2 linked regions of the Schizosaccharomyces pombe genome follow. Changing the gene in region 1 together with any one later gene gives a genetic interaction. Each region holds a gene or a part of one and is shown on either strand. Other genes may lie near its edges. The genes, in order: mto1 and knk1.

What was found.
Region 2: of mto1 (region 1) and knk1, changing one enhances a phenotype caused by changing the other (phenotypic enhancement), as found in Schizosaccharomyces pombe (one study listed by BioGRID).

What each region holds. Positions count from the first base shown.
Region 1 is NC_003421.2:1,676,090-1,688,650, forward strand, and holds mto1 (gamma tubulin complex linker Mto1), read right to left. Parts: upstream 7,183-12,561; coding exon 3,835-7,182; 3' UTR 3,672-3,834; downstream 1-3,671. Other genes in the region: cfh2 (chitin synthase regulatory factor), read right to left, coding at 1-867; mug27 (protein kinase Mug27/Slk1), read right to left, coding at 1,382-2,197, 2,240-2,689, 2,739-3,347; tef3 (translation elongation factor eEF3), read left to right, coding at 9,577-12,561. UniProt on the Schizosaccharomyces pombe protein: Spindle pole body (SPB) component that acts as the gamma-tubulin complex-binding protein of the SPB outer plaque.
Region 2 is NC_003423.3:675,226-686,965, forward strand, and holds knk1 (AAA family ATPase), read right to left. Parts: upstream 7,442-11,740; 5' UTR 7,402-7,441; coding exon 6,046-7,401; intron 6,014-6,045; exon of another isoform or gene 5,998-6,013; coding exon 5,589-5,997; intron 5,542-5,588; coding exon 5,324-5,541; 3' UTR 4,678-5,323; downstream 1-4,677. Other genes in the region: putative NatC N-acetyltransferase non-catalytic subunit Naa38, read left to right, coding at 1,536-1,683, 1,832-1,902; AP-1 adaptor complex beta subunit Apl2, read right to left, coding at 2,358-4,409; decaprenyl diphosphate synthase subunit Dps1, read left to right, coding at 8,918-9,892, 9,974-10,135.

The sequences.
Region 1 (12,561 bases):
AAAGAAATAATGAATAGCTTCTTCAGTGTTCTGGGTCACACCAAATCCCATCTGCAGACATATGGCAACCCTATAGGCAGCCTGCACGTGATTCAAGTCGGCCGCCATTTTATACAGTCGATATGCTTCCTTCTCATTAATTTCCGTTCTCAATGCACCGGTTCCATAGCATACAGCCAACAGATAAAGTGCTTCTGAATAGCCAAAAAAAGAATTTCCTTGAGATACAAACGAAGTCAAATAATCAAAAGCCTCCTCTTTTTTCCTAGCAACATACTCTCTGTTGCGGCGACTAGAGGATTTTTCCGCTTGAAGAGCAAGTTGCAAAAAAGAAAGTCTAGTTTCTGGTTCACACATCTCAGCACTGGCTAACTTGTATGAACTTTTCAACTCCTCCAAGCTAATGCTTTTTTTGAAGTTGCGGAACATTTCATCGGAACCGGGATCGGATTGCAAAGAGCGTTGATTGAATGCATAATCTGGATCGTAAGATGGCGGTTCAGGATCGAAAAGACCACTCTTTAAATTTAAATTTTTCACGTTGATAGCGGAAAAATCCACGGCAGATGAAAACGTCTGTTCCGATTTTTTTTTCGACACTATTTCGAGCTCTTTGAAGGGGCTAAGATTTCGCTGTGACTGAATATTCGATGCAGAATCGGAAAATGACGGTACTTCATGAATCAGGGTATTGGTAGGTACTTCGTCAAACTCTTCCGATTTCTTAAACTGAGCCAAAGGATGAAGATAATCATCGTTAGAGCTAATTTCAATGGCATGGGTGTCTGAGCTAGGCTCGATATCATAATCAATTGTCGTTCTGTCCCACTCGTGAGCACTCCCAGTGCCGCCATTGCTAACTAGCATTTCTATGGCTTTAATGGTTATAATGCCTTCTATCTTCTATTTCACTTTCAAAGAGCGAGGAATGAAAATTGAATTCAAGGCTGCAACTGGATATAGGTGAAGGGTAAAAATTTATCTGTCAAACTGATGACTCGATCCGAGGGTCACGTCATGAAGCTAACGAAGCGACGTTATATCGTCGGACTTAAAAGTTTATTTGAATATAAACTACTTTTAAGCGTACAGGTTGATCTACCTACAAGAAAGATACGTTTACAGTAGAATTTTCAAAATTTTAGTGGGTTTTCAGCTGGATTAAGGATGCAGTTCTCTCTAAACAGTCAAGAATTAACTATTTACTTATAATTAATATTCATATCTCCCTTTTATGGAGAAATATGCTGATTAGTTTCGAGCGGAATACGCTGCTTGGCTCATCGATTCCGAATATGCTGTGGCTCAGAACGCTTTTCATGTCGCAATAACGAGACTTTTCGGCGTTTCTCAATGGTAATTGATGCGTTATTATCTGGATTTAGAGCAAAAATTCATACAGGTCTTTGCCTTTTCTTTCCAGAAGCCGATGGACTCTTGATGACTTAGTTTTGTGACCCTTTGTTTTTGATCGCTTGTCCTCATCCAGGTCCTCAATAGCAGTGGTGCCTTTGTTATGACTAACGGTGATTAAATCCTTTTGTTTAGTGCTATTATTTTTCTTCTCCGGTTTCTCTTTGCGAAGTTGTCGCTTTTCACGATGCCGACCCACCAGTGGCTTTCTTGCGTTGGGTCGATACTTGAAGGTGAAACCAAGAAATTGTCTTTGATTACCGTTCATAACTCCATTGCTTTTTGCTTTTTGCTCTGCCTTCCTTTGCTTTTCGTACACATCTTTGTACGCATCTAGTACCTGTTCGTCATTGAAATCATCAAAATAGGAAGTATCAAGTTGATTCTCCAAGCGGGGAACAAATGGTGGCACAGCTCTTTTCCGCAAACCGTTCCAATGGAGTCTCTTAAAAAATGGATGCTTTTGGATTTCGATTGTGCTTTGAAATCTTGACGTTGGTTCTGTTAGACACTTGGTGATGAAAGACCATGCCTCGTCTGAAACCGATCTCGCTTTTTTGTCGTAAATTCCATTTTCATTTTTGGAGGGTCTCTGCAACATTTCTCGCCAGTAGTATAGATTAGTCCACGTTTCTTGGAGCGTTGACCCAGAAAAGGGAGGATATCCTACCAGACATTCATAACATATGCAGCCAAGTGACCAGTAGTCTACGGTCCTATCGTATTTCTTTCCGTAAACAACTTCTGGAGCCATGTATTCAGGAGATCCAACAACGGAATTTACCTAATTTTTTTTTAGTTTACGTTTGAATCAAAATGTCTTTACCTTGTTCTCATTCTTTTCCAAAAGCGCTTTATAAATGTTTCTTCTTTGCTTTTGTGTTAAATAAGGTCTCTGAGGATTAACCGCGCTCACTAGTGCATGTTGAAGTCGATTTACCTGATTCGATGTAACAATTGCAGTACTTAGCCCAAAGTCACTAAGCTTGATATGTCCCTTTTGATCAATTAAAAAGTTCTCGGGCTTTAAATCACGATGCATATAACCTAGTTTGTGGACTGCACTGATTGCAGCGACCATTTCTGCTAGGTAAAATCGGGTTTGATTTTCATGCAAAAGCCCCTTGGTAGTCAAAAAAGTTCGAAAATCTCCTCCAGGGACGTATTCCATTGCTAGATATACTTTTTCCTTATCTTGAAAGGCATAATACAGTTTTACAAGCCATTCGGAATTAGTATTCGTTAGTATATCTCTTTCATTCAATATGTGTTTCACCTGAGCCGTTGTTAGTTTTCTTTTAAGATCTTTAATAGTGTCTTCTTACTTCATTAAGTTGCTGTAATGTTGATTTTTTCATCATTTTCATTGCTAACAATTCGTGTGTGTTGCGCTTTTTAGCAAGCCACACAGAACCATATCCTCCTTGTCCAAGCTTTACTAATAAATCGAAATGGCTACATTGAATCTTGGTTCTTTTTTTTCTCAAAAATGCTCTTTCCCTTCCACAATGCTCTTTCCATAGTCGCTTCTGTTTAGATTGTTTTAATGACGATGTACACGCTGTAAATTCTTCCAATCTTTCCTTCCTTAGTTTATGGTACTCAATTGTGCTAATATAGTAATTGAGGAAGAAAACTTGACAGGCCATCCGCTTTCTTCTTGTCTCGGGTCGACTAAGTATTTCAACTTCACTGGGCTTTAGTAATTGGTAGTAAGTTAAACCTTTAGGATCATTTCTTTTCGTCCAGCAATTTTGTCTTTCTTCGTTGAGCACCATGCGTTCATTTTTCGAAGACACACTTGCTGACGCATTTTCCCTGTCTCGTAAATAGCCGCTTGATAGTAAAAATAAATCAGAAAATTCGACTCCATTTTCTTTTGCCTTTGATACTAGTTTGTTATTGTCTAATTCTTTAAGGCCCAGTAGGTCCATTCTATGTTTGTGGAATCGTTCTATAAAATTGTCCCAAGTGAATTGCTTTTTCCATGCAATGGATTCTTTCCTTTTTTTGCTCCTATTCAAGTTTATGTGAGCTCAATTTTGAAATTTATTTTGAGTACACGTTGTGCCTGAATAAAACTCGATTCTCCCAGCAAATGTAAACAAACACCGGGTTCTGGGAATTTTTACAAAGATGATACATGCGCAGTAAAATTTACTTAAAAAAGGTTAAATAAAAAATTATATTTCGAATTCTTTTGCGCGATTAAAATAAATTTTTTTTACGAATATGTGTGATTATTTCCTTTATAATCAGGGAGATACAAACACCAAAATGGTTAATCGAGAACAAAAAAAAATAAAAAATAAATATAAATCTTGGAATTAGCTTATTTTGTCAATTAAATTCTCCAACTAAGTAGATATGTACTGGTGATTAAGAAAAGCTATATACTTCAACCGCAAACTATCCAGATTATTATTTATGTTCTTGTGATGATATAGAAGGAGACCTAGAATTGCTTTCTTTATCCGTTTTTATTTGCCTTGAAAGACTCCTGTTTTGTCGAATCAAATCTTGAAGCCTTTCTCTGGCACCCAACTTGTCTCTTTTACGACCTTCTTGCTCAGCCTTGAGTTGAAACTCCATCTCTCTTAGTCTCAACTGCCATATATGGCTCATTCCTTCAGCATCTCGTTTCAAAGCTGTGATACCTCTTTGAACTGCTGACTTATCTGGAGAAGCGGGAACAAGCTTTTTATCCTCGGAATCCAAACTAACGCGTTTTGAAGCCCTTGGCGAATTTGGAATAGATGAAGTTGACCCAGCGCCTAAAAGTTTCACTCGTTCTTCCAACTGTGATAAACGCTTACTTCTAGCCTCAAGTACACCATCAAGCTTCCTGAGTTCGGTCTTAAATTCCCGCTCCATTGATTGACACTTCCGTTTGAATTCTTGAATGGATTTGTCCAACTCCCTAAAATTCATATTTACTGCCTGATTCATGCTTGAAATTGTCGTCAATGCTTCAACGTTGGTATTTACAGGCTTACTTCCCGTATTCAGTTGGGTAAAACGAGTGACAATGTTTTTTATGAGGGAATTTCTTTCTTCCACTTGCTCTTTAAGGCGTTTTTCAGATGCTTGTAAAAGTTTAAGTTCTCTAGATTGACTCCTTTCAGAAGGACTGGAAGATCCAGAGAGGTTTCTTCTGAAAGCTTGTGAAGACAAATTTTCCAACTCTAATTGGATTGCTTTTTTGGATCGTCTTTCCGCATCCAGTAAGTTCTTTAACTCCTTCTTTTCAGACACTAACGTCTCCAAAGAGTTTGTTTTTTCTTTTAAACTTTGCTCACAATGGTAGATTTTTTTCATCAACTTATCAGTACCAGACTGATCCTTTTTATTCTCATCTTTTAGTTTTCTTATCTGTTGTACCAAATGGTTAACCGAGCAGTGGGTGACCTGTTTATCAAATGTTTCCATAATAGCATTCTGCAAAGAATCGAAATTTTCGCGAAGGGTAACGTATTGATTATTTCTTTCCTCAATCTCACTTTTTAAAGAAGAGTTTGATGACAATATACCTTCAAATTCACGAAGTTTTTTATTTAATGAATCTAATTCGTCATTGTGCCTTTCCTTCAAGTTGCTAAGATAATCGGCTAACGATTCTTTACTCGTTGTAACGCTTTCCATTTCAGTTTTTAACTGACTAAGTTGATCATTTAACGACTCAATTTGCTCATTGAGTAAAAGTTTGTTATCGTTACTTTTCACCAGCTCGCTTTCTTTCAAAGCAATTACTTGCTTGTTTTCTTCATTTTCCTTCCTTAAAGAATCAACTTCTGCTTCTGTCATTTTCAACTGTTCAAGAAGATTTGATGTCTTTGAAGTTGAATCTTCCTTCGCTTTATTATTTTCTTCTTCCAAAGTTTGCAGCCGCTTTTGTAATTCGTCAAATTCATGGCATTTATCGTTATAACGTTCTGACAATTGGGTAATTTCATCAGTAAGCTTTTCAACCTCTTCTTTGAATAAAGAGATACTCTCCTCATTTTCCCGTATTGTTTTCTCGAATTTCTCAATTTCACGCTCTGCTTCAGTCCTAAGTTTACCTACTACTTCTTCGTAATCATCAGACTCTTTTGAAGACTTTGACAGCACCTCTTTGGTATCCTGGAGTTCTTGGGTAATCTCTTCGACATATTCCTGGAGTTGGTCAACATCTTCCCGCCATTGTTGCTCCATTCTCATCAATTTATTTTCATAATCCTCTTCAATATCTTGCAACTGTTTATATAAACGAGTAAGTTCAATTGATTGCTCTTGGGTTTTCATTCTAGATACCATCATAGAATCCCACAATTCATTCTTGCTTGATTCTGCCTCTACAATCGCATTCATCTTCCCTGAATTCAAAGCAACGGTAAGCTCCTCCACTTGTTTAACCAGGCGATCATTTTCCTGCTTGCGAAGTAGTAATGCTTCATTTTGCATAGATATGTCCATCCTCAACAGTTCATTACTACGCTGAAGTGTTTCAATAACACGCTCATCAGTATTTTTTGCAGGCATAGGAACTTTTTTGGATAACTGTACGCGAAGGGATTCCAACTCTTGCAATAGAGCTTCCTTTTCCCGCCGTTCGTTATCAAGCATATTTGACAGTACATTACGATCTTCATTGTATGCCCCAACAGAATAATTCGTCTTCTTTGATTTTTCTTTTCTCAAAGCCGCAAACGCTCTTTTGGTAGTTTCAAGCTCTGAAAGAGCCTGCGAATACCTCGATTGAAGAGTAATTAGGTTTGAAGGGGCCGGGCTGGGGGTGGAAAGGTTAAAAGACTGATCAGGCTTAATCCGGCTTTCTAATCCAGATATTTTTTTCTCATAGCCTGCAACGGCTCGTTGAAGCTCCATAGTAAGGGTCTTCAAATCGATGTTTTGCTTCATAATATCTTGAACCTCCTGATCGTGGAATTTATTTAATTGATCGTATAGAAAGTAGCATTTCAGTTTCAACCCAAACACTTCCTTTCTCAAATTATCAATCACGTTTGCTTGTTCCTTTAAAGTTAAGGAGGAGCCGGGCTGAGATTCCTCAAACTCTTTGGCAAGTGCATTTTTCCTGTCTTTTAGGTCTTTCATAGCAGACGCCGGTATCAATATATCGGAGATCTTTTTGCTTAAAGCATTGGTAGTGGGGGCATCTTGAGAATGTAAATAATTTCGTTCTTCTTTTATTGGGGTTAATTGCAAATCATCTTCATCATCCAAATGAGGTAACTGATCTAGAGAAGAAGAGATATAGTTCGGACTTGAAGGGTCCGAAGTATAATCGTAATTATTGTAACTATCTTCTTCATACTGCTCTTGGCTCTGAAACCCTTGATTAGCCGTAAGTACGGGAGAAAGCTGTTCATCATCAGTAGTAATGTTGTCATTGAGACGATCAAAATTCGTAGTATCCAAAAAAAAAGGTGCAACAGAACTATTTCCCTCCTCGTCCTCGCTATTCAATTTATTGACTGATTCATCGGGAGATTGAAGCGGAGTAGAGCTCGTTGGAGCAGTAGCATTTTGATGGAGACGAGGTGATCCAGAATCAGATTTTAAAGAATCTCTATCAATTTCAAAATCATACTTATGAGAAGCTTCTTCCGAATCTTCGTCTTTTGATGTAGAAGAGGGTAATTGCCGAGATCCTTCCTTTCTGGGTGATAAAATGCGACGAACTTCCTCGTCCGTCAGCGAAAGACCAGCTAAATTATCCACTAGAACATTAAAGTTATTACTATCTAACTCACTGGAATTTTCTTCCATAATTGATTAGAAAACGAACTTCGACATAAGCAAATCCAAAGCAGTAGGCATTGACTCTTGTAACAATTTCAAAGGAGCGATTTTTGAATAAGAAATTAATTCTTTCTTAAATTGTTAATTGTTAAAAGAAAGTATGGGATCGAAGATATGCCTATTGATACGCTATGGCATATATGTAGTGGCAGTAGTTCTCAATGGCTGTCTCTACTTGACGCATGTTAGACTAACGATCAACAAAGTAGTAGACTTGTAATTGCGGACTTTACAATTTTAGAAGGTTTAATGTTTGTGTTAGAAGCAGATATTTTCAAAAGAAGTTAATGAAATTAATTATACATTTGCACACACTCGTTTACATTATAAATAGCCATGTTATTTGGCATGCCTATGGCACATACACAAAACAATAGTACATACATTGATGATATGTAAAACGTAACTATGATTTTCATTAGATTAACTCTCCTCAAGTTAAGGTATGTTAACCTCATTTCACACTGTGAATCCTAAGTATATTAATTATTGATGGAATAAACGTTAAAAACACTAAAGTCCGCTACGATTATGCTTGAGTACATAGGTTTTCACGAACAAGCGTAAATTTGCTTTCCTACGTATAGTTGGTATGTAGCCTGAAATTATTTGTTTCAGTCTCTATTTTCACCGTGTTACATGATGCTACATTTCGATGATTTCAATCGCAACGGTAAATTGAACTATGAATATACGAACAAATATACTTTTCATTAAGAGAACATTTTTAATTTGCATAGTGTGTTCGAAACTTGAATTGAGTGAATGCGAAAATAAAGTCCTCTACAACTCATCAACTTGAGATATGTAGAGCAGCTGAAAAAAAATAATAATAAATAAATAAGTATATGTAAATTAATTTATCTAAGTAAATTAAGTTAATACTACTCAGTATTTTTTTTAATACAACAAAGAAAAGCATTCTTTCTATTAAGCGAAGGATTTTTTTTTTTTTTAAATCAATTACAATCATCACTTACTAGAATGAACCAACTAGTTGAAAACTTTCTTTTCTTTTCAATTTTTTTTTTTATTCAAGCTGATCATTGATCTGATATGTTTTCTTCAAACATTAATTCCATGAAATTGTTTAAAAAAATTTGCGAAAAAAAAAGTTGACAGGTATGTAAATATTACTAATATAGATTATTACAAAATAAAAGAGAAACTTGGCATCATCACTCGCTCTACATAATTTTTATTAAGTAAAAATGGTAATACATAAAAACTGCTTCAAACTCGTCAGTTACGTACTCTGCTAAATCGGTTAAGGTGTCAGCAATATTACATACGCTGCGATACACAACGCTGAATATCACTATATGCTACATATTCTAATTATACCATAGATGATACGATATTACGATTGTTCCTAATGAAATTATAATAAGTTCTATACTATCTGAATAATGCAAATGGAAGCACAATTGAAATGAAGAACGAGGATCAGTTATACGCTATATTAGTGATAGGTAAAAATATAACCTGTATAACAGAATAACTATACCCCAGTTGCGACCTTTATGACCCGCGTATTGCAATATGAATGATTATAAATATGTATTAAGATATTTGTAATAATGTAATACATTACTATGAATGCACTTAAATTAACTCGCGAATGAACTCATAAACGGAGTTCATTTGAGTTTACTTATAGAAATTCAATGAAGGATATATCTATATTCACCTTATATAAATGATGCGGGTATATAACGATCCAATATACAATCATTACAGTTCTGACTCTGAAAATATGATGTCCGACAGCAGCTATCTGAATGCGATTATGCCGACCCTATGCTAAATTCATTTAGTGCTACTGCATCATGTTATGCGACCAAAACCATATTATTGCCAGAGGTCATTTAGCCACGGAAAGCTTACAAGCAACATATGTTGAAAAGAAGAGTTACAGCGTCAAAAATCGTTCTTAACAACGCAGTGTGGTATTAGTTTAACGAGACATAAGGACCGCGTCGATTTGTTCATGGCATGCTTTATCTATAGTGATATCTTTAATATAGCCTTACATTTACAATGATATCGTCATACAAAGGACGCCGCCACTAAACACGTTATTTTATTTAGCGACTTCTAATTTTGCCGCTTAATAGTTTTTCCACGTCGCTAACCACTAAACACCGCCAAAGAAACCGTGGATTATGGCCACCACCAAGAAGAAAACCAAAGAAAAAGAACAGTCACATTGTAAATATGAGATTTAAATACATAAAAACATATTATTATTTTATTTTAAGTACTCCTTCTGTATTTTCTTAGTTGCAAAATTTTCATTAAGAAAATCCATTCATATACAACCAGGACCTCCGCTCATCTACCAACAACCATTTCCCCGGGATGTCTGCAAAGAGTGAGAATAAGCAGTCAGTCAAAGCTCTTGAAGAGTTGTTGAAGCACCTTACTGTCTGCGATGCCGCAGAGGAAGCTGATGCTGCCAAGGCTTTGGCTTCTTTTGTCAACGGACCCATCGAAGAGCAAGACGCGCCTTCTCAAGTTTTCTCTGCTATTTCCAAGCAGTTGAACGACAAGAACGCCACTGCTCGTGAGCGTGTCTTGAAGGGTCTTGAGGCCGTTGCCAACCATGGTAGTGTTGCCGCTGATGTCGAGCCTTACTTGGTCGAGTTGTTGCCCGCCGTCATCGCCAAGGTTGCTGACAAGCAAAACGCTGTCAGAGATGCTGCCATTGCTGCTTCTAAGGCTATTGTCCGTTGCACTACCCCTTATGCCGTCAAGGCCATCGTCCCCTCTGTTCTCGAGTCCATCCACACCACTGGTAAGTGGAATGAGAAGATGAACTCTTTGCAACTTTTGGATGTTCTCGTTGAGGTTGCTCCTTCCCAATTATCCTACTCCCTTCCTCAAATTATCCCTGTTGTTTCCGAGTCCATGTGGGATACCAAGGCTGAGGTTAAGAAGCAATCCAAGGAAACCATGACCAAGGTCTGTACTTTGATTGCCAACGCCGATATTGACCGTTTCATTCCTGAGCTTATCAACTGTATTGCTCACCCCGAGGAGGTCCCTGAGACTATTCACTCTTTGGGTGCCACTACTTTCGTTACTGAAGTCCAGGCCCCCACTTTGTCTATCATGGTCCCCTTGTTGGCCCGTGGTTTGAATGAGCGTTCCACTCCCATTAAGCGTAAGACTGCTGTCATTATTGACAACATGTCCAAGCTTGTCGAGGATCCTCAAGTCGTCGCTCCTTTCTTGCCCAAGCTTTTGCCTGGTTTGTACCACATCAAGGACACCATTGGTGACCCTGAATGTCGTTCCGTTGTTCAACGTGCCATCACCACTTTAGAGCGTGTTGGTAACGTTGTTGACGGTAAGATCCCTGAGGTTTCTACCGCCGCCAACCCTGAAGTTTGTCTCGAAACTTTGAAGGCTGTTCTCGGTGAGATCAAGGTCCCCACCAACGAGGAGGTTATTGCTAAGTACGTTGCTAACATTGCTGCCCAACTCGTTGAAGAGAAGGATAACGAAAATGAGTCCTGGGTTCTCAACATCACTCCTTACTTGACTGCCTTCATTGACGAGGCCCACATTCACAAGATCGTTGAGCAACTCCGTACCCGCTCTATCGCCAAGATTCCTGGTGGTGCTTCTCATGCTGAGGAGGAAGAGGAGGGTGAGGATCTTTGCAACTGTGAGTTCTCTCTTGCTTATGGTGCCAAGATTCTTCTTAACCGTACTCGTCTCCGTCTTAAGCGTGGTCGTCGTTATGGTCTTTGCGGTCCTAACGGTTCCGGTAAGTCTACCCTTATGCGTGCCATTGTCAACGGTCAAGTTGAAGGTTTCCCTACTCATCTCCGTACCGTCTACGTTGAGCACGATATCGACGAGTCTGAAGCCGACACTCCTTCCGTCGATTTCATTCTCCAAGATCCCGCTGTCCCCATCAAGGACCGTGATGAAATTGTCAAGGCTTTGAAGGAGAACTCTTTCACCGATGAACTCATTAACATGCCTATCGGTTCCCTTTCTGGTGGTTGGAAGATGAAATTGGCTCTTACCCGTGCTATGTTCAAGAACCCCGATATTCTTTTGCTTGATGAGCCTACCAACCATCTTGACGTTGTCAATGTTGCCTGGTTGGAGAACTTTTTGGTTAACCAAAAGGATGTTTCTTCCATCATTGTCTCTCACGACTCTGGTTTCTTGGACCACGTTGTTCAAGCCATTATCCACTACGAGCGTTTCAAGCTTCGTAAGTATCTTGGTAACATGTCCGAGTTCGTTAAGAAGGTTCCTTCCGCCAAGTCCTACTATGAGTTGGGTGCCTCCGAAATGGAATTCAAATTCCCTGAACCCGGTTTCTTGGAAGGTGTTAAGACCAAGCAACGTGCTATCATCAAGGTCCAACACATGTCTTTCCAATACCCTGGTACCTCAAAGCCTCAATTGAACGACATTTCTTTCCAAGTTTCTCTCTCTTCTCGTATTGCCGTTATTGGTCCCAACGGTGCCGGTAAATCTACCTTGATTAAGGTTCTTACTGGTGAATTGTTGCCCACTGTTGGTGAAATTTACCAACACGAGAACTGCCGTATCGCCTACGTTGCCCAAGCCGCTTTCACTCACTTGGGTCATCACCCTGATAAGACTCCCTCAGAATATATCCAATGGCGTTTCCAATCTGGTGAAGATTTGGAGGCTATGGATAAGGCTTCTCGTGTCATCAGCGAGGCTGATGAGGAGGCTATGAAGAACAAGATCTTCAAGATTGAGGGAACTCAACGTAAGATTTTGGGTATCCACAGCCGTCGTAAGCTCAAGAACTCTTATGAGTATGAGTGCTCTTTCCTCGTCGGTGAGAACATTGGCATGAAGAGTGAGCGCTGGGTTCCTATGATGTCTTCCGACAATGCTTGGTTACCTCGTGGTGAACTTATGGAGACTCACGCTAAGATGGTTGCTGAAGTTGACCGTGCTGAGGCCTTGAAGAGTGGTCAATTCCGTCCCTTGGTCCGTAAGGAGATTGAGGAGCACTGCAGCCTTTTGGGTCTTGATGCTGAGTTGGTTTCTCACTCTCGTATCAAGGGTCTTTCTGGTGGACAAAAGGTCAAGCTTGTCTTGGCTGCTTGTACCTGGTTGCGTCCTCACGTCATCGTTCTTGACGAGCCTACCAACTATCTTGATCGTGACTCTCTTGGTGCTCTTTCCAAGGGTCTTAAGAACTTTGGTGGTGGTGTCGTTTTGGTCACTCACTCCCGTGAGTTCACTGAAGGTTTGACTGAGGAAGTTTGGGCTGTCAACAACGGTCACATGACTCCTTCCGGTCACAACTGGGTTTCCGGTCAAGGTTCTGGTCCTCGTATC
Region 2 (11,740 bases), on another chromosome or scaffold:
TAACCTTTATAAGCGAGATAAAACAGTCAACTCGTTACGCAAACTTATCGACACTTTGCGAGAGTTAAAGTTACCAAGCTTTCCTACATCGCTGGTTGGAAAGACATAGTTAAAATGAAGCTGGTTTGCTGGCTTTCAAAATAGGAAGATTTCCCAATGTTTTAGTATATAACCGAGATCGCTTAAAATACTTTACTCTGATATCAACAACTCTATGTTCATATCCGTTATCAATCAACAGGGAATTGAGGAACCGTAGCAGTTTTTGTTAAAGTAGAGAAAATGTCAAGTGACCCATAAACTTGTAAATTGGAGATGAACGAACCCCTTAAAAAACCCATTAACGAAACGATTCCCTCTTTTTTTCTCATACAATGAGTTCTTAATAATAAAACTCACATGACAAGTCGGTTCATGAATTCACTTTACTTTGCACTAGACTGCTACAATTCCCTCTCCTTGAAATTTCCAGTACTGCATTGGGACGAAGTTGCCTAGTGTCTTGCCGTCGAAAGGCAGTTTTTGACTCGGCAAGCTTAGAACGTTTTCATGAAACTCTATCAATTGCATAAATGGATGCAAAGACAAACTATTCACGGCATTTGTTTAAACTATTTTTGGATACCGCGATGTAAATAGTATGTATACGGCCTTGATATCCTACTGTACCAACTGTATACTAAATAACGATGCGAAGCGTAGAGGGTTGAAATCAGTAGGAAAAAATACCTACTTTCTGGATTATAATTTCAACCATTCTTTATGAGAATACATTCATGTTGTATTTAGGATCGGTAATTATAGTAATCTACCTTCTCTTTCATCAAAACACACTCTTCAACATGCTAAAAGATCGATACAAAATAAAATCGCAAATGGGATAGTCCGCGCTATGTTATAGAGCATTACGTTGCCATTACTCACCCCACATTCAGTTACTCTATTATACGTAGTTTGTGATACTTAAGGTGATATCGTATACTATGTAAAGACATGCACCAATTCCGTTGTTTAAAATACCAATGTTAATTGCACAGTTTTCAATTCTCCCTAATGTTACGCAGTTTGGTATCTGATTTAAGGATACGGAGAACTGCGGTGAGTTTTCCTTATGGTCTATTTATATTACAATACACAGGTTGTATAAGTAGCAACTGAGTATAGGTATTGTATTAACTGGGTTATAATGTTACCTATCACTAATATAGCTCATAACTGAACTGAGGAACGAGGTTCAGTTGTAACGCTATTTATAATATTTCTAAATAGTTGTTATTAACGGGTATCTATGTATATAGACGGATAATTACCCGTGATTATCAATAAACGGATCTTAGCTAGTATTCCAACATATGACATATAGTGATACGCAACGTAGTGTATCATAGCATAGCGTTATATTAATGGCACTACATTACTTTTTACAATACGATGTTCAAATTTTGTGCATTGCGTTAATGTTTAGTATTTTCAGAGTATGTATATCCACTGCTATTGATTTCACTTCCCCCAAGCTTGATGAATTTTCCTTGATCATGGAAAATGGAGAGATTTTACTGACCAGCTGGCTCAATCGGTCAGTTCATATTGAAATTTTTGATGAGAGAAAATTCATCGGAAAGTTCTTGTGCACTGACAGAGAAGGCGCTGCCATTCTCTCAAATACCACAGAATACAACAAAGGTAAGATTGATATGTGTTCATGAATAGCGCGTCCCTCAAATTCAAGTAAACTTTCGCTGGGTTACTGTTTAAATTGAAAACAAACGTTCCAGCTAGTACCTCTTTCTGTTTTTCACCAATTTCGTCAAAACTAATATAATGAAATCAGGCTTCTCTAGAGCTTTGGGTTTAGTGGTGATTCCAGGAAAGCATATCAAAAGCTTCTCCGTACGTGCCTAAAGCACCCATAAATCTCCTTAACATTTTCATCTCACTTACGTATGTATGTATATATATATATATATATATATTGGAATGAATTCAAAAACGAATATCGCCAGGGATAATCATTACATTCGTACAGATTAAAAAACGCCTATAATTAACATTACAATCTGTACCACTCGTGATAGCACCTCAGTGATAATGATTACTGCAATGAGCAGTCCCTATTTTTGCTTCGCATCCATTTTAACAAATATTTTTTTATTTATTTATAAAAACGAAAGAAGAACATGCTTTCTATGTTAAAATTGACTTTCTGATTTGGGAAAAAACAACAATTGAAACATATCTTCATAAACTAGATGTGCATCAATCAACCTTATCCCGTTTTTCCCATTAGACAAACGAAACGAGATAAATATTAATAAAACAAATCATCATCTATCATGCCACTCATCTGTCGTTTATCTTTAAAGCCCTAACAGATCATCTGTTGCCGATCTAGCCTTTACAGGTTCAGCGTTATTTGTGCTCGGTGCCTCAAAAGCCATGAACAAATCCATTGCACTATTTGAGCCCGACTGAGGTTGTGCGCTGGTTATTGGAGAATCACTGGCAGACGTTGCGCCTGGATCAGTAAAATCAAGGTCAAGCAAATTTTCAACGTTGGCTCCTTTTTCAATAGCTTCATGAACATTGGCTTCTTCAATGTTCAATTCTTCAACAGCTCGACGCTGTATTGCGTCTGCGCCAAACTTGCCCTGGCCAATAAAGGATTCCGGTAATTTATGGTATACAGAAGCAAGAGTTGTGATTTCACACAACAGAGCATCCAAAAGTGCCTCAGGTAGATTGTTATTATAAGATACGGAAGGCTTTTCGCAACAAACAATTTTTTGAGCTTTACGAACATTTTCAGGTGTCAACAACCGCTGATATGCAAAGGCACGATCCCTTAAATCCTGATTGCTTGATTGATTAATTGCATAATTTAATACTTTCTGTACGAGTTCTTCATCGTTTCCTTTGCCGTTCATCAAACTCAATTTTACAACAGCCGTCAGTAAAGCCAATTGAATCTGTAAATCTTCATCCGCCATAGTAGAAATCATTTCGGATAATAGTTTAGAAGAAGTAGGTATAACGTGTGAAAATTCCCCTAAAATCCAAGCCATACTACTACGGGCTCTAGGGTCACCAAGCTCCTCAATGACACGAGAAAGATATGGAAGTAATAAGTCAATCTTTTGAGGGTATTTGCGCAAAACCGTTTCCATCACCACCGTGACTTCTTGAACCATATAACTAATATTTAACTCATAGATTTCAAGAAATATGGAGATGCAATCATTGATGACGCTTGGAACTTTCAATGCAACGTCTCCAAGGCATTTAATCGTTTGTTTCACAAATTCTAGTTCAACTTCGGAAACGTACGCTCGAAGCTCGGAAATGGTCTCGTTAATGTTTTCGTCACATGCAAGCATTGTAATTATCTTTAGTTTCTCCATTTTAATATAAAGAGGATCATTATATTTGCAGAAAAAAACCCGAGTTTTGACATCAAAAATAGAAGGCCTCTTTTGTAATATTAAATTAATGTTCCGTAAGGCTACATACTGGATTTCTGAGTCCGTAGAAAGTAGCGTCAAAAGAGGAGGAGCCATTTTTTTGTACAGAAAGTCTGTAAAGTCACTGGAAAAGAGAGGGATATGTACCATTATGACTTTCACAGCGGACAAAACGACACCACTATTTGCATGTTGGAATTGAGGAACCACCCTTTCACAAACATATTCAGCTTCCTTGATATCAGAAGTGCGAAATCTAGCTAAAGAATTCAAAATAGTAATCCGACCCCACTCATTACACTCACTCAAAGCAACCATTAGCCTGTCTGTCATCGTGTAAACTACATTAAAATATCCCTTTTCAGGGTCCTGATCATGAATTTCAGCAAGTGAGCGGACTGCATTAGCCACAACCACAGGATTCGGATCAGATACCAACGCCTGCAATTGTTCGATGAAACCATTTGATGCACAGTATTCTCGATCAAGGTCATACATCTTTACAACACAAACCGCTGCAGCCTTACGAACATAGGGATGCTCATCCTTCAAAGCTTTTCGCAACGGATCTGCCAAATAGCCAATGATTTTATTTACCCGAATGCAACCCATAGTTCTAATTGCCAGAGCTCGTAAAGTAGGATTATATTCCTCAGAATCCTTTACAAAAGTATTAACGGCTAAAATACAAAGATCAGGGTGTGTTTTGGCATAGTTAATTAGATATAAATAAACCAGTTTTTTCAAGGTGATATCGCGAGTAGCTAGGTTCTTTAAAACATCGGGAAACAGACTAGACACATCCTTGCCAACAGTCATTGCGGCAATAGTCCGTTTCACAGCATCAATTCTCTCGTAGGCATACTGAGAAACTAGTCCCTTTTGTAATTCACTTGTTTCGCTTTTTTTAAATGCCTTAAAACGGCTCGATTGAAACAACTTTGGAACCATTCGGTACTATTGTATAATTCCGCTCTTTATGTAGCTCTTTTAAAGGTGGTAAACGTCCTAAGGTCAAAAACACGTTTACATATATAAAGCAGTGGTTCAATAATCATGTCAAGTCAAACCCATTCGGTGAGAAACACCCACTCCCAGAAGTAACAAAGGTGACAATATCGAATACTGAAATCCAATTTCTATATATTCATGATTTCATTTTCAACCTGCAATGCTTTAAACGCTACTATTATGACCTTTAAATAAATTTTAAAACATTTAATTCAGTATACAAACAAGAGGTTGAAATGTTATTTCAATAAAAGCTATAAGTTAATTGCCGTAAAAATGCGATTCAAGTAAAGCAATACCCTTTTCCAAACATTAAATAACTAATAATTATTGTTCAAAATTGGAGAATAGTGAAGGGAAAAAAAGTAGCCCAATAGGTTGAGGCTGTATGTAAACGAAATAAATATGACGATAAATGGAAAAAATAAAATAAAGAGAATTGATGGAAAATACAAAAGGGGAGCATTTGTAAAAGGCGCTGTCAAGTCGGCTATGATTTAAAATGTCGTTTATAGCGATAGTCAAATCACGAATACATTTTAGTTGTTGTAGGAAAGACGAAAATAAAATGAAGGTAAACAGAAATTAAAATTCGTAATAAGCCAAGTTTATGCAAAAGAAAGTTATTGAAACCACATGAAAATCAGCATCCACGATTCAATCCCTAAATGCACGGTAATTCTCATAATATCCAGAAAAACGATACCCAAATGATTCGTTAAGAAACATTAAAGGATAAAATTAAAAAGAGAGAAAGGAAGTTTGAATAAATTAAAGGATACCCTGCCTTTTTGATGCAAAAGAATATATGATTTCTTGAAAATATTAAAGGTAGAATACTCTACAAAGTTGTTTTAACGTTGCGAACCAAATTGTTTATTCCACTCTTCGTAACGATGAATACCCTCTTGTGAGACACTTGGACGAATAGTACGAAGGCTAGCTTTAAAATGATTCAAGCTGATCGGAGGTATCATCTCTGCACTGGTGGTAAGTAGAGCATCACCCAAGTTTCTTAAAGGACCCATTGCTGCGTCTTTGGCTAAAGCAGTGATATCAGAGCCTGAATAACCTAGATGGCGTTAGTTAACTAACCAATCGAATTATTTATATACATACCTTCGGTAAGATTGACAAGTTCTTCCAGATCCTCCTCCGTCAAACAGTGTACTTGATTATGAAGCAAATGAGAAAGATGTTTATATCTTGTTTCTTTTTCAGGTAACGGAATATAGGTTCTTTTAACGAATCGGCGTCGAGCAGCCTCATCAATACACCACGGAAGATTTGTAGCTGCCAGCACCAAAACACGGGGAGAGTGACCAGTTTGCTTGTCCGGAGCCGCATTAGTTAACGAAGACCATTGAATTAAAAATTCTGTTTTTAATCTACGAGAGCTCTCGTGCTCATTACCGCTGTCATTACGAGCGGAAAGAATGGAATCAATTTCATCAACAAAGATAACGCTACATGTCTGGCGCTTCGCAACTTCAAAAAGGGCTCGAACCAACTTTTCAGAATCACCAAGCTAAATCAAGGTTAGTTAAGAATGGGGTTAAATATAAAACTTGCTTACATATTTCGAGGTTAATGATGAAGCCGAAATCGAAAAAAATGTGGCTTTCGCTTCGGTCGCAACAGCACGAGCAAGCATGGTTTTGCCGGTGCCAGGGGGGCCAAAAAGAAGCATGCCTTGTACGGGTTCACGCAATCCTTGGAAAAGTTCCGGGCGTAAAAACGGATAAATGACTGCCTCTTTCAAGGAATTTTTAGCGTCATCTAATCCGGCAATGTCCGACCAGTAGACAGGTTCATGGTTAGAAATAATTTCATTCATAATAGCATATTCAAAATCACTTGAAGGAGTGGTCTGTTGAAGAGGTTCAGTTTGTTGAGTAGTACTAGCTGAGATAGTTTTTGACACAATTGTCTTAGAATCAGCGGTTGCCGGAGGAGATGTAGCAGGTGATCCGGCTGTGTCAGCGGAAGACGGTCGAGTGGAAGAACCAAGGGTATCATGAGAAGAGTTTAAGTATGGTTTATATGGGCTAGGATGCTTGCGCGATTTTCCATCGCTGGATGAATGCGATGCAGACGTAAGGGGGACGGCAGGAACATGGAGTGGAGGAATTGGCGCATGGAAGGAGAGGGGAGTGCTATTGTTAGCATTTTGATTGTTTGACACCTGAATAGAAGGGCTAGATACCGAATTGGAAAGCGTCGGTTTAGTCGTAGACTGACTTTTCATAGCGGTAGGAAAAGTGGTGGAATTCATGGTAGCAGAACGACCTGTATCAGAAGAAAGAGCAGAAGCAGAAGCGGCAGCACTCTTAGAAGCAGCAGCAATGGCCGAAGCAGAAGAATTGAAAGAGGCAAAGGGATCTTCGGGTTTGAGGGGTGGAGAACGGTTTGGCTTAGAGGGTGCCAGATAAGAAGGTGCATCTCCATAGGAAGAAGAAACAATGGATGAAGTGGAGGTAGAAGGAGGCGAATGCTTGGAATATATTTGCTTAGGCGTAGATAAATTTACCTCCGACTGCGCACCTCTCGTCTGTCTGTACATCATCCTAGTAGTCATGGGGGTATACGCAGGTGTTTGAGATCTTACTGGACGTAAGGGGTGAAGATCAACGGGCGCCTTCTTTGAAAGTTTGGCTGCAAGTTGATAATTTTGCCTTTCCATTTCACTTTCCAAAATCGTCTTACGCAGCTTGCTTGCCTTGCTCAAACAGTTGTCATAGAGCCCGTTCCAAGAACATGCCTCTGCGCCCGTCAAAGGTCCCAATCCCATGCGATCGCGAGCTGCCGACGACTTCTTCATCTCCTCTAAAACCTTGCAGTAACTCACATACGCACCAGCCCAATCCCTATTTCCTTCACACAATAATGCTCTTGATGCTATCGGTAGTATTCTATCCAAGTCTGAGTCCATTTTCCGCAGTCGACTCGTCAATGGCTTTTTTGCTTTTGGCAAGTTCAAATGTCAAAAGTGCTGTCTTGTCGTTAAAAATCCCATAGAATGTTCGAAGTAACGCTGTTACTTTTCAGCCACTGGTTTTCTTTCATCTCTTCAAAAGCTATTTGATAAGGAATTCGTATTGGAGAAAATCATTTTATTCATAGATTCAATAGATGAGTAAATATCTTTCTTTCACACTCTTTTTTTTTTCCCGCTAATTCGCAAATCCGGAAATTTGTTTACAACAAAAAACGTATTATTAACGATATTAATCATTTCATCGCTATGCTAGTAGTGTGGATTAGAGAGCACTTTAAAATCGAGCGCCTTCGACTGGCTGAAAAACAGAAGCCAAGCGGTTTTCGATGAGAACAAATTTGCGAAAATTTAAGTATCTTTTGATATACCTACAAATTCTAAAAAAAATTTCTCTAGTTGAACTTAACGCTCAAATAGAGCTTTTTTTAAGAATACTTGAGGCCCGGGAGATGTAAACAGATCAGCTATGTCTGAAAGGAACGGGATGGCACTTAATGTTGATAAATTTTTTATTTTTTAAATTCTTGAAGTGAATGGTGAAAAAAGTCGGGCGCCTAATCGTTAAAAGCCTTCAAAAGTCAAAATGTGATAAAACAAATATGAATGTAACGTTTTGTACTACAATGACAATAATCTTAGCAGGCGAATCGTTTTGTAGACTAGAAAAGTACGTAATTTATTTTTATTAAATGATCCTACAAATACTAAAACTTGTAAAAATGCTTTTAAGCAATTTCTGATCAATTAAAATTTCACGCATGTCAAACCATTTAGAAATGTTTATGTTGTTAAAGCAGTGTTACAAAGCTATTAAAATACCTAAAAAATATCAACAATGTATTCGTAAATTCCTAGAACCAATAATTGTTCAAGTAAGATGAGAAACTCTTGGAAGATCAACACATATAGAGGATTCCCTGAAGCTGTTATATTAACTTCGCCAAAAAAAAATTAGTTGTAGTATAAGATTCATTTACTTATCTAAATATTCTGCTTTTGAGTATTCAACCAAGTAGCACTTCTCCCATCGAATATTGAAGCAATTTGGAAGTATAAATTGTTTTGATTATTGTGTCGTATAAAAAATGATACACGGGAGAGATGCATATGCAAATAGATCTGTGAATTTTATTGTTAACTGATTTGATGTATAAGCTGTTGTAAGTTTTGATAATGAATTTGGCCTCTGAGGAAGATGCTCAATATCCTGCTTGACTCAACAGAATTCTTCAGAAAAAATACTTAAGATCAGAATGGTATGAAGAAAAAACGATAATTAAAAAATGTTTTGTTTGTTTACAAACTATTTAATGATTCTTCCGTTCTTTGAAATAAACTTATCTGATCAAAGCGACGTCATATCTAAGCGAAATCACGGTAAATACCATGATATACAAACCATCCCAACTCTAACTTCATCATTTAGTTACTTTTGAAAATAAGAAATGAAATGATTCAGTATGTATATTTAAAACATATGAGGAAATTATGGAGTCTTGGAAAAGTCCGTTCGACTGTTCTTCGGTTTTCTACTACGAACCGCAATGCTTCACATTTAATTAAAAACGAGTTGGAACAAATCTCACCAGGGATTCGTCAAATGCTGAATTCAAATTCAGAATTTCTTGAAGAGTGTTCTAAATATTATACCATTGCTCAAGGAAAACAAATGCGTCCTTCTCTTGTTTTGCTGATGTCCAAAGCTACAAGCTTGTGCCATGGTATTGATCGGTCCGTAGTGGGCGACAAATATATTGATGATGATGATTTAAGATCATTTTCGACGGGTCAAATTCTTCCTTCTCAATTGAGATTAGCACAAATAACCGAGATGATCCATATAGCAAGTTTGCTGCATGACGATGTGATTGATCACGCTAATGTCCGTAGAGGCTCACCTTCAAGCAATGTTGCTTTCGGTAATCGACGGTCAATCCTTGCGGGTAATTTCATCCTTGCACGGGCTTCGACTGCTATGGCCCGCCTTCGAAATCCCCAAGTTACGGAGTTGTTAGCTACAGTGATAGCAGACTTGGTTCGAGGTGAGTTTTTGCAGCTAAAAAATACTATGGATCCTTCATCTTTGGAAATAAAACAATCAAATTTTGACTATTATATTGAAAAAAGTTTTTTGAAAACAGCCAGTTTAATTTCCAAAAGCTGCAAGGCTTCTACAATCCTCGGACAATGTTCTCCTACTGTAGCAACAGCTGCTGGAGAATACGGTCGATGCATTGGTACTGCTTTTCAACTAATGGATGACGTGTTGGACTATACGTCGAAAGATGATACTTTAGGAAAGGCGGCTGGTGCAGATTTGAAGCTAGGGTTGGCTACAGCTCCCGTCCTCTTTGCATGGAAAAAGTATCCAGAACTTGGTGCAATGATTGTGAATAGATTCAATCATCCTTCTGATATCCAACGGGTAAGAGAAGCTGAAGTTTTATTTATTTATTTGATTTCCTTTTCTCTATCGTTAATTTTCAATTGCTAACATATAATTTAGGCTCGTTCTTTGGTTGAGTGCACTGATGCTATCGAGCAAACCATCACTTGGGCAAAAGAATATATCAAAAAAGCCAAAGATTCCCTTCTGTGTCTCCCTGATTCACCTGCAAGGAAGGCACTTTTTGCGTTGGCTGATAAAGTAATAACGAGAAAGAAGTGACGAGTTTAGTACGCTGCATCTTTAACTATTAGATAAAGGCCTCTTTTTCTTATTCTCGAAAAATTTAAAACAATTAGGTTTAATTATATATACGACTTTGGTAGACCGAGTTGAATTACCGCTCTTAATAGAGCAGTGAAAATATTACTAATATGCGCTGCCTTGATTGGTTTTTCTTCCATAAATGATTTCAGGTTATTACAAAGTGAACGACAACTGCCAACGAATGCAATGATTTTATAACGACATTGCAAGCCACTAATGATACTGTCTATAAAAATTGGACTTCAATAAATAAACCAAGCACTTCGTAATAACTATTCTTGACTAGTGTTATAGTCTTTGTGATCTCGCTGCTCAAATGTCAGATGCTGATTTTGGCTCCAATTTTCTGTTTACGTTATAACAACTATCATGTAAGTTTGTCCATTACTTATATCTGGTGAAAAAGGCTGCATAACTATGGTAATACTTTTTGTCAGATCTAAAATTAGGAATCAGATTTTATCCGGTAGCTTGCTGTGCTTTCCCTGGACTGCAAAATTATTTTCACCTGTATTCTTTTACTATACCTTTTTGATAGCCTATAAACGTTGAGCGTTGAGCTTTTAAACTTACCAAAACTACAGGGCCTTCCTTCTTTCCCCAATGCTCGAATGAACTTTCGTTAGTATCAACGTTTCCTTTTGTTTAGTACCCCTATAACAATATATATAACGACCTTCTTTTTGAATAAACCATAGCAAAAGCTAAAAGTTTGGATGTATTAATGAACATTGTACACCTCAGTCAAACAACAGTAATTTGACTATTAGATGATGATCGTAATTACTATGTTAACATATATCTGATGCCTCAAAAGTGCAAGAAAATGAATAAATTTCAAATTAGTAAATAATTGACTATCGGAAATACTTAACAATATATAGATCCAGTTTTTGGTTCAAATAATTAATATTATTATTAATAATATAATCGTGAATTGCATCCTGTTGCTAGTTTAAAGCCCTTTGTTACCACAATGAAGTTTAAATGGGTTTAAAAAATCCTTAAAAAAATAGATTTTATTGATCATCATGCAATGTCATTAGAGTAAAAAGTACGGACGAATGTATATTTTTTTTATTTACCATAATTTGGTACACTTTGATATACTAATGTAGGTACAGTGCTTTCAAGAAGAGCTCAAGTAACAATGTCAGTGGTTACCTACTAATTATATTTTTTCCATTAACAGAACCATCTAATAGCAAACCTTTTTGAATGTCAGTTTAATTCAATATACATGTATGTGAATTTTGTGCTCATAATTAAACATATTAAACATAATAAATAACTAATCTCGAAAATTCAAACATCCGCAATACAATTACAAAGTTTAAAACACGCTGATAAAAAACTTCTTAAATGAATCCTGTATCCGTAAAGGGTCAATGTTTTATTCTAGAAGCCCACATCCGCTTAATCGTCTATCCAAAATTTTTGGAACGGGTTAAGCTTTAAGCAGTTAAACTTGCTCATAAACTAAAAATTTATCTCTCTCATATAAACGCTTTGGATTTTGGTATTATTGTGAGATGCCAGAGTCACTTAAGCTTGTTTAAT